Lytechinus pictus: one gene and its partner. The protein of the gene in region 1 purifies or fractionates together with the protein of each later gene. This does not show direct contact. Links are inferred from orthologs where the notes say so. Each region holds a gene or a part of one and is shown on either strand. Other genes may lie near its edges.

Region 1 (7,129 bases):
CGATCCTTTCATCCAGGCCACTCCCTCACATCCACCAGGTTTACAGTCTTATAACAAAAATGATGAATTAATTAGAATACCATCACACCATAGCTCCATGATCACACAACATTCACACAGTGCTTCACAACAAATATTTCACCTCTGTTCAGACATGCAATAATTACTGTGGAAAACAAAACAAGGCGTAACCACATTCCAATACCGTTTAAAAGGACAAATATATTATAAAACATGGCGAGATCTTTGATTTGAATCATGTGTAGAATTTAAAGTGAACGTGAAATGAGATTTTGGCATTCTGTCACAACTGAAATGCACTTTCGCACCTGGCGATTTTCGCAAATTGATTTTGTCCAGATTTATCAATCCATAACCTGAATTTCAGCCACATCGAGCATCGGCAACGAGTGTATTTCGGCTTCGATCTCGACGCCTTCGTTTAAATTCTCAATTGGACTTTGCCGTAGTTGCGATATGGACTGAAGTTAGCGATCATAATAATGTGAACCTGCCTCGCGAAGGATGGGGCAGTTCGCGCTGCGCCGCCTGTGTGTCCGCGCGGCAGGTTTTCTGTCTTTCGTTCTTTCTATCTTAATTTGCTTTGCTTGCTTCATTTCTTTCATTCCTTCTTTGATTCTTTTGTTCTTTGTTTTTGCCCCATTGCTTTCATACTTTTTTCTTTTTATTTTTATTTAACATTTTTTCCCTTTTTATTTTACATTTTTTCCCTTTGACTCCTTTCACTTTGTTCTTTCTTTCTTCCCTTTTATTTATCCTTTCTTTACCTTTCACTTCTTCTTTTTTTTCTTTCGTCCTTCCTTTTCTTTATTTTCTTTAATCCTTTTTTTTAGTGATAAAGGGGACAAAAAAAAAAATAAATGAAAAAAAATAAACTTGCGTCTTTTTAAAATGTTTTCTTCTTTCTTTACTTTTTGGGACCTATAGAAATAAAAAACAGTAAAAAAAATTAAAAAATAAAAATAAAAGGCGGGGCGATATAATGAATATCAGCTAATGCAATGAAATACGTTGAACAAGTAAATAAAAGGGTTAATGTAAATCCTCCAAAACCAAATACTTTTTAAACTTTGATTTTAATCATGTGTAGAATTTAAAGTGAACGTGAAGTGAGATTTTGGCATTCTGTCACAACTGAAATGCACTTTCGCACCGGGCGAGTTTCGCCAATTAATTTTGGCACAATATAATAATTTTATTCCCAAATGTCTAATCAATCCATAACCTGAACTTCAGCCGATCTCGACGCCTTCGTTTAAATTCTCAGTTGGACTTCGCCGTAGTTGCGATATGGACTAAAGTTAGCGATCATAATAATGTGAACCTGCCTCGCGAAGGATGGGGCAGTTTGCGCCGCGCCGCCTGTGTGTCTGCGCGGCAGGTTCACATCATTATGATCGCTAACTTCAGTCCATATCGCAACTACGGCTTCTTTGTTTTTTCCCCATTACTTTCATACTTTTTTTCTTTTTCTTATTTTACATTTTTTTCCCTTTGACTCCTTTCACTTTGTTCTTTCTTTTTTCCCTTTTATTTATCCTTTCTTTACTTTTTACTTCTTCTTTCTTTTCTTTCGTCCTTCCTTTCCTTTATACTTCCTTATTATTTTCTTTCTTTAATCCTTTTTTTTTTAGTGATAAAGGGGACAAAAAATAAAAAATAAAATAAAAAAATTAACTTGCGCCATTTTAAAATGTTTTCTTTCTTCTTTACTTTTTGGGACCAATAGAAATAAAGAACAGAAAAAAAAATAAAAAGCGGGGTGATAAAATGAATATATGCTAATGCAATGAAATACGTTTGACAAGTAAATAAAAGGGTTAATGTAAATCCTCCAAAACCAAATACTTTTTAAACTTCCCCTTTTATAGTTAAAATGAGGGGCAATATTTTAAACGCTACTTTAACTAAATATCATATTCGTCCAACTTACCTTTAATCAATCATATATTTTTCAAAACAAATTACGACTTCAAATAAAAACCTAACTTTCACATTCCTTTCAAACCACAACCTTCTCTTAAAAAATTCAATTTTAGCTGAAATTTCTTGTCTTCCTATGTATTTTCTTAAGCGCTTAGAGACATTCTTTGTGATAAGCGCTATATAAATGATATTAATTATTATTATTATTATTATTAAAATTCAAATGTTTATTTCTTTCCCATCTTGAATAAACATGTCAATCTACAACAAATTCTTTTAACTTAATCACACCCCAAAACCCGTGGAATTTCCACGGGCTCTGCTAGTTTGTTATGAATACTGATTAAAACAATTGAAGCGAAAAAATCGTGAAAATTGAAAAATATGAAAAAAAATTAAAAACAATAGAAATACATAAGAAATTTATGAAACCATGAAAAACAAGAAAAAAATTGTTGAAATGGCTAATTTCCTTTCCAGTCATATCAAATATGTCTCAATAGAACATTTTAAAAGAAAAAACTCTTTTATTTCCATATATTTTAAATTATTTGAATTTTTGAAATTATGGGGACAATTGTGTACGTTCTCTATGGGGACAAAGTGTCCCATACGTAATATGTCATTAATTTGTTTAATTAGAGTCTGTAATTAGAGGGTTTTGGCTTATGACATGAAACTTGCCCTAGATATACTAGAGTGTTGTGACTTCTATCACACTAAATTACAAGTTGTCAAATGAAATACTTTCAGAGAATTCTCAACTTGAAAAAAATGTTCTAAAAATTGTCTTTTTTCTGCGTCCCATACATAACGGCACATTTTTTCTCTCTGAAAGGTCAGGGTCATACGTCGCCATTTTTGGCATGATTATTCTCCTCCTAGATGTCTACCATCATGAGGGTATTCAATCTAATCAAAGTCATTTAACACTATTTTTCAGGTCATTAAAGCCTCTGAAATGTCCCATACGTAACACGCGCAAATTCTTGGACTTGCCCTGATATAAACTTTTTTTTCAGATTCAGTTGTCCTCAGATCCATCTGGCTCATAAAGGGTAAAGGTTGTGCTTACTAAGTGTTGGAATTTCAATTTGGACGTCAAAATTCTTACAAAATGGTTGAATGTATCCGTTTTATTTCAATTGACTAAAAAGTGCAAGGGAAATGTATGAGAATTGTTTCACAGGGTAAGTTTGATATCGCACTTTCCCCTTGACACAGCGTGAAAACAAGCATTTCTGCGCAAACAGATTTCTGCGAGCTTTACAAAAATGGACAGTGCTCACTCAAGTGTAACATTGGGTGATTTCAAGTTCAGTGTTGACCTTTTGGTGTTGGTGTTGGGTCAATTTTTACACAATTATAACACCAAACATAAAATGAGGATGGTCCCGAAAAGTCACTCACTAGTTGTTGAGATGTCAATAATGTGATCTGGATCAGTTTTACAAACTCTGAATAAGTTTTGGAGCTAGGGGAAGCAATCGAAATTTCAACACTAACACCAACACCAAGGCCAACACCGAACTTGAAATCACCCATTCTGTCAAAACTTTTACTTTCATGGATAGATGAGACCCAAACCCAAAATTATATTTGAAAAAATTACCCACATGTTGTATATTTTTTTATTTATGGCTTTTTCAAAGTGTAAACTTTTTTTTGATACGCACTGTATACCAATAGGTGCGCTGTCATTAAATTTTGGGGACGTAACACAATTGGGGCGAGTTCAAGACACATGGCCCTATGTAATTATCACCTTCAAAATTGGAAAATTCTCAAGGGTGCCAAAGTGGGATCAACCTGATTTTGAATCAGTTTACCCTCAAATATTATTTCTAGCAAAAGAATTGCATTTGTAGTATTTTGTACCTTACTTTATGCTAATGCTGAAATTTTGATGAGTTTTACTGGACTAGTAATGCATACATGTGAGTTCTTTGACTTGCCCTAAAATATTTTGTTCTTGTGATTGAAGATCTATTAGAGGGATCAACTTCAAACTGTGGGTGAGGATTAAGTGATTGGATTTTGTGCGCACAGGGTGAAAGGTTGCAGATGTCATTATTTTAAAAGTTAGATATGTATGTTCTTTATATGACAATGGCAGAGTAGGCAAAAACTTTGACTGCATGTAGTTGAGAATCCAGTTTTATTTTTATTTTTTACATTCATCTAGGTAACAAACTCAAAGATGACAGACAAGGGAGACAAAGACAAGAAAGTGGATCTTGGTCTTCTGGAAGAGGATGATGAATTTGAAGAATTTCCTGCAGAAGGTAAGGAGAGCTCAGAATGTTCAGTTCTATGGATTTGTTTGTCAAGGAAAGTTGAAGAGAGAAATAGAGATTAAAAGGGGAAGAATTTCTTGCTGATCAGGGGCCGCGGAACGGTTTTCAAAGTGGGGGAGGGCTGAGCCAAAAGTGGGGGGGGGGCTGACTATGCAAAAAATCACAATCATATAGTCATTTTTGTCTCACCTGCATAGCAGAGTGAGACTATAGGCGCCGCTTTTCCGACGGCGGCGGCGACGGCGGCGTCAACACCAAATCTTAACCTGAGGTTAAGTTTTTGAAATGACAGCATAACTTAGAAAGTATATGGACCTAGTTCATGAAACTTGGCCATAAGGTTAATCAAGTATTACTGAACATACTGCCTGAGTTTCATGTCACATGACCAAGGTCAAAGGTCATTTAGGGTCAATGAACTTAGACCATGTTGGGGGAATCAACATCAAAATCTTAACCTAAGGTTAAGTTTTTGAAATGTCATCATAACTTAGAAAATATATGGACCTAGTTCATGAAACTTATACATAAGGTTAATCAAGTATCACTGAACATCCTGCATGAGTTTCACATCACATGACCAAGGTCAAAGGTCATTTAGGGTCAATGAACTTTGGCCGAATTGGGGGTATTTGTTGAATTACCATCATAACTTTGAAAGTTTATGGATCTGATTCATGAAACTTGGACATAATAGTAATCAAGTATTACTGAACATCCTGTGCAAGTTTCAGGTCATATGATCAAGGTCAAAGGTCATTTAGGGTCAATGAACTTTGGCCAAATTGGGGTATTTGTTGAATTACAGCCATAAATTTGAAAGTGTGTTGGTCTAGTTCATAAAACTTGGACATAATAATAATCAAGTATCACTGAACATCCTGTGCGAGTTTCAGGTCACATGATCAAGGTCAAAGGTCATGTAAGGTCAAAGAACTTTGGCCACGTTGGGGGTATTTGTTGAATTGCCATCATATCTCTATAAGTGTATTGGTCTAGTTCATAAAACGTGGAAATAAGAGTAACCAAGTATCACTGAACATCTTGTGCGAGTTATAGTAGTTTTCAAAATCAGCACTGCTGCTATATTGAATCGCGTGATGCAGGTGAGACGGCCAGAGGCATTCCACTTGTTACGTTTTTGTACATGGTTTGGAAAAAAGTGGGGGGGGGTTGAAGCCCCCCAGCCCCCCGTTTCCGCGGCCCCTGCTGATGGTTTGGAGACCCCTTGATGTTCAGTTCTATGGTTATTCTTTGTCAAGGAAAGTTGAAGAGATAAAGAGAGATTATAAGGGGAAGTCTATCCTGATGAAATAAAAAACAATTGTTCTTCAAAAAAAGTACATTTCAGTGAAAGCTTTGAGCCATTTGTCTTAAAAGTGAGAATCTGGCAGAGAATATGTAAAAAAAAACATGTAATTACGCAAATATTGATTTGTAACTCAATGATGCAATATAAAAGCTATCATTGTTGTCTTTATAGTTCTATTTCTATAATTCAATATTTGCACTTAAATGTATAATGTTTGCAAGGATCCTGGGCTATTTTATAGTCCATCAAAGGGAATGTTGTTCACATGTGACATCAGACATCTTTGTCGCATTGACAATGGGAGTATCTCCATAGCATTAGTGATAGCAATATTCAAATGCTCATAACTTTCTCATTATTTTGTCTAGAACTCCAATCTTTCTCAAACTTTCTTTGATTTTATTCTTTTATTTTTCTGTTTCCACACAAGCCCACTTGTTCCAAAGGTTTCATTCCCCTTTAATTATTGATAAGATATGTCTGATATACCTGTAGACTGTAAGAAAAAAACAGTTTTAATGTAATGAAGTCACATGGGTATAATTTTAAAGTGATGGGTGCTTGTTATTTCTTACATTATTTTTCTTTCATCTAGAATGGAAACGTGATGAAGAAGATCAATCAGATAACAATGTATGGGAAGACAACTGGGATGATGACAATGTAGAAGATGACTTCTCTAAGCAACTTAGGTAAAACTCTGTTCTCCCAAACAAAGAGCACTATCATTTTACCATTTTGAGGTGTGTAACAGACTGACAGAAATGTGTGTAACAAAATCCAAAGTGTGTGTAAATGGTATCATCTATGCAGGTGTGTGTGTAAGTAGTGGGGTTGGAGATGTGGGGAGCAGCTGAAATATTGTATAATACAGTGCGAGTCAGAAAAATGTTAGACTTTTTTAATTTAGTATTTTTTAAAGAAAATGTGGGATTCAGAGAGAATTTCTAGCATGTATGGATAGAGTAAACATTCCTTTGTTACTTGGTAAAATTTGTTTCAATGTTGTTGTTATGGTTGAGTGCACAACAGCCATTGTTTGAAAAAGTGTCAAAACCCATTTGCACCAAGTCATGTGATTACCTGCTGGAACGGGGACAAAAGCATTTAAACAATGAGAGTAAAGTTTATGTGTATGTTTATTCATCAAAAAAAATAAGCAAGAGAACAGGTAAATCAATATATTATCTTCACTGAAAAAAGCTCCTTTTCATTGTCATTTTGGCCACAACTTGGACAAAGCTTCCTGCCTTCAATCTTCCACATGTTGTCCATTTCTCTTGATGCACTTCTGAGCTCGATGGAGCATTGCTGCCAAGGCCCTGCGAAGTGTCTGCCTGTCTTCGTCTGGGGGTACCTGAAGTCAAAGGTGTACAGCACCCCACCTGCAGATCTGGATGACTTGCAGCAGCGCATCATCAGAGCAACATGTGGAAGATTAAAGGCGGGAAGCTTTGTCCAAGTTGTGGCCAAAATGACAATGAAAAGGAATTTTCTTTCAGTGAAGATAATTTACTGATTTACTGGTTCTCTTGTTTATTTTTCTTGATTAATTAACATACGCATAAACTTT
Region 2 (7,806 bases), on another chromosome or scaffold:
CCTCGAGGAGGAGATGAAGTCAGTGAACATGACCTGGGGTACCGGTAGTTTCCAGAAGAAGGCCCAGCTCAAAACCGCCAGGACTCGGGAGTGGAGATCCGAATACTTCGTTGCTGCCCTCCATATGAGGAGGCTGTAAGTTAGGTAATTCAGATGTCAAGTTTTCTTTTGGGGTCTTTGTGTATCCTCTATTATGAGAATTATGGAAAAGAGATGGTGATTTAATGGTTTTAAAGATGTAAAATATGAAATTCTAGCACTTTTTTTAGGCCTAATATGAGTTCGGACACCCTACTTATAATTTTTTTTTGAGGAGCGCGATATTTTTGTACATGACCCAAGCCTAGTTTCACCACAGGTTAATTAATAGCTACACAGCTGTTGCATTTACAATTTTAATAACAATCTACAACAATTGAGCATTTTATAAAATTGAGTGTGTCTAGGAAAGCAAATTCGGAGGCATAAGGAGAGCCATTTATTGAGCTCCATGGAATTATAAACATGAAGGACTGATCTCTGCGACATCGATTTCAGAAGTATTCCCAAGACCAAGTGAACTTACTCATTTTTTTAATAAATATGATGATGTGCTGTTTATCATTATAGTTGAATCATTGATTCACAATCCCATGTATTTTTCTTAATGTGCAAATGGAATTTTACAACACTCTGTAGTAACCCTTGCCCGCCTTAGGTGTAGACATGTATTGCTATTCACTGTAATATAGACGTATTTTTATTCACTGTTCACTGTACTGATTATTTTTCTCTCCATTGTTTTAAAAAAATTATTCAGATACATCGCATCTACCAGCAAAGAACGTGTGCCAGTACAGGGAAGGAATGTACCTGTCGCACGTGAACTCTTCAGAGGCAGTGAGGACAACAAGATCTGCAAGCAAGTGATCCTTTTTGTAAGAAAATTTCCAATTTGTACATTTCACAATTAATTTTTTTTAAAGCCTTTGTACACATTTAGAGTATCAAGGCTTACAATATGTAAAAATTAAATGTTTGCCCAAAAATCATTATGGGAAAGGTGGATTTCCAAGGAAAAATCAAATCTATCTTTGTTTACACAGTTGTACGAGCAACCTTATAGGAGGCTTGTCTAGGCTCCGTGATGAAAATACAATGTAAAAATTGATTCACAATCCCATGTATTTTTCTTAAAGTGCAAATGGAATTTTACAACACTCTGTAGTAACCCTTGCTCGCCTTAGGTGTAGACATGTATTGCTATTCACTGTAATATATACGTATTTGTTATTCGCTGTTGTTCACTGTACTGATTATTTTTCTCTCCATTGTTTTTGAAAAAAATTCTTCAGATACATCGCATCTACCAGCAAAGAATGTGTGCCAGTAGAGGAAAGGAATGTACCTGTCGCACGTGAACTCTTCAGAGGCAGTGAGGACAAGATCTGCAAGCAAGTGATCCTTTTTGTAAGAAAATTTCCAATTTGTACATTTTACAATTAATTTTTTTTTAAGCCTTTGTACACATTTAGAGTATCAAGGCTTACAAAATGTAAAAAATTAATGTTTGCCCAAAAATCATTATGGGAAAGGTGGATTTCCGAGGGAAATCTATCTTTGTTTACACAGTTGTACGAGCAACCTTATAGGAGGCTTGTCTAGGCTCCGTGATGAAAATACAATGTAAAAATGATAAAATTATCTTCATGGAGTCCTCTAGGCTAGCCAGTGACATGGGCCCAGGCCCATCAATTTTAATTCATGCTTTTGCATAACCAAATGGCGTGAATTTGGAACTGGAAGTATAATTTCAGATTGACCTCCGAAATGAAACGTGCAGGCCTGGAGGCTGAAGTATTTTTTTATCTTTGAAATTAAATTGGTTCTCGTTGTTTTTTACCTCTGACTTACCAGTATGTGTGGGGGTACCGTAGAAGTAGAATTAAAGGGATGGTCCAGGCTGGAAACATATCTCAATAAATAGAGTAAAATTCACAGAGCAAAATGCTGAAAACTTGATCAAAATTTGATAATTAATTAAGGTTTTGAATTTTAAAGATTTGCATTATTCCGGTGAAATAGTTCTAGGCATGTCTTTATGAATATTCATTAGGTTGGCTGATGATGTCATATCCCAATTGCCCTTTTGTATTTTATTATATGAGATTAGGTTTATTAAGATATTTTTAACCAAGAACTATTGACAATTGGATTGACAACTGATTAGGTGCATTAGTTATTGACGCAACTTATTTCATTACAATGGAGACGCATCATTTACACATGTATGAAAAAATCAAACATTTATGATTTCATCTAGTAACATAAAAAAAAGGAAAGTGGAGATGTGACATCAGCCCACCTAATGAATATTCATGACGAAGTGCATACAACTGTTTTCACAAAATATTGATAAACTTTAAAATTCAATAACTTCTTGTTATCCTATTTTGATGAAATTTTCATCATTTTGCTCTGTGAATTTTACTCAAGTATTATTTAGATGTAAATATTTTCGGCCCGGACCATCCCTTTAATCCTCTGATAAAATTTTGTATTTCATTTTTTTTTTTTTGCTTTGTCTTGCGTTTTTAAACATGTTCTGGGAACTGCTTTTTGAAAGTTGTCAGCATTAACAAGTTGTCTTTTTCCGACAGTTACCATAGTAACAGTCAGAGGCCAGTGCTTCTCAGCCAATCAAAAGCAATGATTTCACTGAAATAGTCGGCACTGACAATCATGAAATACCCATCAGATGTTAGCAGATAATGTGCAACATAGACTCCTAGATACATATATGCAAACATACATAGTCTAAGTCTTTATTATTAAAATAAATGTATAGGTATAAGGTCGAGGCAATTTTATCTCTGCGATGTCAATTTCAGAAGTATTCCCAAGACCATGTGAACTTACTATACATGTTGTAATAAAAATGATGTGCTGTCTATCATTATAGTTGAATCATTGATTCATTTATAATTGAATCATTGAAATATGGAACTTAGAGAAGTTTCACTATCCCATGTATTTTCTTTATGTGCAGATATAATTTTACACCACTGAAATTTTGTATTACGGTATTCACTGTACTTATTATTTTTCATTCCATTGGTTTTTTTTTCTAATCTTCAGATACATCGCATCTACCAGCAAAGATCAAGTGCCACTACAGGAAAGGAAGGTACCTGTTTCACGTTTCCTCTTCAGAGCCAGTGAGGGCCCCAAGATCTCAATAAATAATAATTAAAAAAAGACTCCTTTATCATTCCTTTAAAAATAGTACATATTATTTATTGAAGGTAAATGCTTAGATGCATTATATTCAAATTTTGTCTCCAAGCTAGCATGTAAAAATTGGATTGACTACATATTTACTGTGTAAGTTAATGATCTTTGTTGACACATAATACAAGAATTATACACAGCATGTTACAGTTTGTAACATAATTTTCTTTCATTAAATTCCTAGTTTAAATACCATATAGATGTTTTTTGTGACTTTTGTCATTCTCTGATGTTTTTTGGTACAGATTTCAAGAGACTGAGGGATTGATTTACCAGAGCAAGTTTACAGTCCAATCCTGTTATATTGTGCATGTGGAAATTAACAAGGTTTCAATACAATGCTACAAATTTACCTTGATTCATTTCATCAGTCCTATGTGCAAGGATAATTATTTCACTTGTCCATGCACATTGTTATAACAGGAGTGGACATTCAATGTAAAGATTATTGAAGATAATTTATAATTGAAATAACCGCCTGAGAGGGGGGGGGGGTGTGTTGGTACCAATATTATAATGTGTGTGTGCGCAAGGAAAACGAAGGAGTGATTATATGAGAAGAGTAAAAGATCGGGAATGTACATATCCACATGATTCATTTTTGTTTATGCTATACATTGCAGGGTGTTTCTAACTGGTACCACTTGACAATTTATGTTTCCAACTGGTCCTAACTGGTGCTTCCAACTTGTTCTAACTGGCACCAGTTGACAACTGGTGTTTCCAACTGGTTTTAACTGGCACCAGTTGACAACTCATGTTTCCAACTGGTCCTAACTGGCACCAGTTGACAATTGGTGTTTCCAACTGGTTTTAACTGGCACCAGTTGACACCTCATGTTTCCAACTGGTCCTAACTGGCACCAGTTGACAATTTGTGTTTCCAACTGGTTTTAACTGGCACCAGTTGACAACTCATGTTTCCAACTGGTCCTAACTGGCACCAGTTTACAATTGGTGTTTCCAACTGGTTTTAACTGGCACCAGTTGACAACTCATGTTTCCAACTGGTCCTAACTGGTACCAGTTAGGACCAGTTGTCAACTGGTACCAGTTGCTAACTGGTACCAGTTAGGACCAGTTGCCAACTGGTATTTCCAACTGGTACCAGTTACAATTTGTCAACTGGATTCCAGTTGAATCCAGTTGATTCCAGTATTCCAATTTCCATATTGAATCCAGTTCGCTAACTGGAATCAACTGGTACCAGTACCAGTTGGATGAACTGGTCCTTAACTGGTTTTTTGACCTGGGATAATTAAAATGTCTAATTTTTTGCTCGCTCGCTTCGCTTATTCCCAACGTCGTTATTTTAAGTGATAGGCCTACTTAATATTCAGCCCCCTCACAATTGGCTCATTACGCCACTGATTCCATTCATTCTCTTTGGTCTGCAAATCCAAAAGAATTGAAATTGAAAACGAGAACAACAGACTATTTACACCTCCGCCCCCCCCCCCCTCCGATCCGAATATAACCCGGAAGCGGAAGTTAATGCTCCCGCTAGCTGGTCATCAGCTGTCGAATTTCCTACTCATTGACATTGCACAGAGCCAGGAAAAGAATCACGATCCACAAAAGAATTGTATTTAAAGAACTCGTGGGACAGCGAAGTATTTATAGCAGTACATGAAAGGTATTGTACGATTTATTCTGTACTCTGATCGATCGTTAAGAAAAACGTTAAAACTCCAAATTAATGTGTCGGCAAGCGGTCTTTCTTGTCTTGTTTGTTGTGTGTTGTGACTTGGACCGTGGATGAGCAAATGCAATTTTTTATTTTACACCCTGAATGAGTGCGTTCACGATCCCGTGATAAACGTATTCGAATAGCACATGAGTGAAATCGTAGTCGTAAAACATCTGATGTGCTGTGCAAGGACAGGTTTAGTCTTGTGCTCGGGTAACCAGGCGGCTTCTAGAGAGTAAAAATCATTGACTAACGTAATGTCACTCTCATGAAGCCAGGCCTTCTATCCCATAGACCCACACAATGGAAGCCAAAACCTGAAACTTTCACCCCCGAGATTTCTACTTTCCTTCTAAAAGATCTAGGCCTAGCTCTAAATCATGTGCATGGCCACTCAATGTCTGAGGTCCAACATTACATGTATATGTATGGACCTCATAGGCGACATAAGTGATAAAATCGGTTAGACATTGCCGTTTCTATTTGCACACAAGGACTTTGGCAAATGTACGCCTTAATACAAATTGGATGGTAAAAATTTTGGTATAAATTAGTTCTTAACATCTTAAATAATCTATTACAATGGTTAAAAGTTAATGGATTGAGGTTAAACTTACATTTTCAGTCTTTTTTCTTGAATTCTTGGTGAGCGTTCCAAACGCTGTGGGGACTGATTAACTCCGATGTGATTCACGTACTGGTCAGCTGATCGGTCAGGTGATCGGTTGGTTATCTTTTTGTCAGACGTTCATAATTTATATTACAATATATCAATCTTCAGTATCTTGATTTCAAGCATCAGTATTGCAGGGAAAAGTCATTATCGATTGGAATCAGTGGCAGATCGGGGGGGGGGGGGGGGGGGGGTGGTTGAGCATTTCTGGCCCGTTCCACCTTTTGAGATTCATAGTAAATATTTTGGATGTAAAAAAAAATATGTCGTTCGTACAAAATTATGTCCCCCCCCACCTCCTTATGAGAATCACAGCAATATTTGTAATGGGGATATTTTGTTCATATTCTTTGCTCTTTTTTGTCCTTTTCTTTTTTGCTTCTCAAATTTATTTTACTTTGAACAACATGACTTTCTATATTTAATGACAAACTTTTTTAGGGGGGGTGGGGGCTTGCCAAATATAACGCGCGGCAAGATGACCTTCTTTTTTTAGTGACAACTTTTTTTTTATTTGTCAAATTTTACGAGAGACAAAATGACCTTCAATCATTATTAGTTAAACCTTTTTTTTTTTTGGGGGGGGGGGGTAGGGGGCTCGCCAAATAGTGACACACTTTTTTTGTAAAATTTTACGCAAGAAAAAAATGATCTTCAATCATTATCAGTTACCTTTCATTTTTTTTTTTTTTAGGGGGGGGGGCTTGTCAAATTTTACGTGGGACAAATGACCTTCATTTTTTAGTGATTTTTTTTTATACTTGACAAATTATAAGAGGAACAAAATGGCCTTCAATCATTTTTAGTTAAAACCTTTTTTTTTGGGGGGGGGGGTAGGGGGCTCGCCAAATAGTGACACACTTTTTTTGTAAAATTTTACGCAAGAAAAAAATGATCTTCAATCATTATCAGTTACCTTTCATTTTTTTTTTTTTAGGGGGGGGCTTGTCAAATTTTACGTGGGACAAATGACCTTCATTTTTTAGTGATTTTTTTTTATACTTGACAAATTTTAAGAGGAACAAAATGGCCTTCAATCATTTTTAGTTAAAACCTTTTTTTTTTGGGGGGGGGCTTGCCAAATATTTCACAAACAAAATGAACTTCAATTTTAGTGACCATCTTTTTATTACTTTTAAAATTTCACGCAGGACAAAATGACCTTCACTTTTTTTTAATGTTATGTTATATCGAGATTTTTTACCTGACTGCTAAACAAGCACGAATGCCTGTGAGCAAGCAACCAGGGGACCGACGGCTTAAGGTCCTCTCCGAGGGACCTGGTAATGAGGATAAATGCCTTACCAAAGGGCACTAGCGCACCACTTGGTAATCGAACCTGGGTCACCGGAATCCGAAACCCCCGCTCTACCAACTGAGCTATCGCGCCTCCGATATGTTAACCTTGGGGGGGGGGGAGGCTTGCCAAATATTACAAGGACAAAATGACAGTCTTTTATTTTTAGTAACCATCTTTTTTGTTTTACTTGTCAAATCTTACGCGAGACAAAATGACCATTTTTCTGTGATAACCTTTTTTGGGGGGGTTGTCAAATTTTACTTGAGAAAATGCACCCCCCTACTTTGGAAAATCGAAGATTAAGATCATGAGTATAGCCTACATCTCAGAGGCGTAAACAGATGGGGGCATGGCTGGCCATCCCCCGAGTGGATTTCACCTGAAAAAAAAACATGATAAGAGCAAAGGAAGGAAGAAAGAAAGAAAGAAAAAATGAAAGAAAGAAAGAACGAAAGGAAATGTAAAATGGAAGGAAAGTCATGTGAGAACAAATAATCCGGGGGGGGGGGGATCTACTCAGATAATAAAAAAATCTGCCATCTGTAATTAAATTGGATTAGTTAATATCCAGAGGTCCCAGTGCTACCAACATGCATGTAGTGCGGGCAGTGGCGTACCTAGGATTTTCCACAGGGGGCAAAATCGACCGCCAAAAAATTTGACAAGCAAAAAAAAAAAAAAAAAAAAAAAGGTCTTCAAGCTCGTCAGGGGGGGCAGAGATACGTAATTTGCATGGGTTTGTGACTCATCGGGGGGGGGGGGGGGGGGGGGGGGCAGACTGCCCCCCCTAGGTACGCTAGTGCTCGGGACTTACATTAGTATGTAACTATTATCTTCCACTCTCTTATATACCCCTGTTATGCCCCTGCACAG

What was found. The genes of interacting proteins can lie anywhere in the genome.
Region 2: the proteins of 26S proteasome complex subunit SEM1-like (region 1) and ubiquitin-protein ligase E3C-like purify together in Homo sapiens (affinity purification with western blotting; 3 studies listed by BioGRID and IntAct, with this or other methods). This does not show direct contact. The link is inferred for Lytechinus pictus from reciprocal best matches to the Homo sapiens genes SEM1 and UBE3C.

What each region holds. Positions count from the first base shown.
Region 1 is NC_087247.1:71,573,670-71,580,798, reverse strand, and holds the start of 26S proteasome complex subunit SEM1-like, read left to right. Parts: upstream 1-4,101; 5' UTR 4,102-4,147; coding exon 4,148-4,232; intron 4,233-6,151; coding exon 6,152-6,248; intron 6,249-7,129. UniProt on the Homo sapiens protein: Component of the 26S proteasome, a multiprotein complex involved in the ATP-dependent degradation of ubiquitinated proteins.
Region 2 is NC_087255.1:24,586,256-24,594,061, forward strand, and holds the start of ubiquitin-protein ligase E3C-like, read left to right. Parts: upstream 1-4,779; 5' UTR 4,780-4,906; intron 4,907-7,806. UniProt on the Homo sapiens protein: E3 ubiquitin-protein ligase that specifically catalyzes 'Lys-29'- and 'Lys-48'-linked polyubiquitin chains.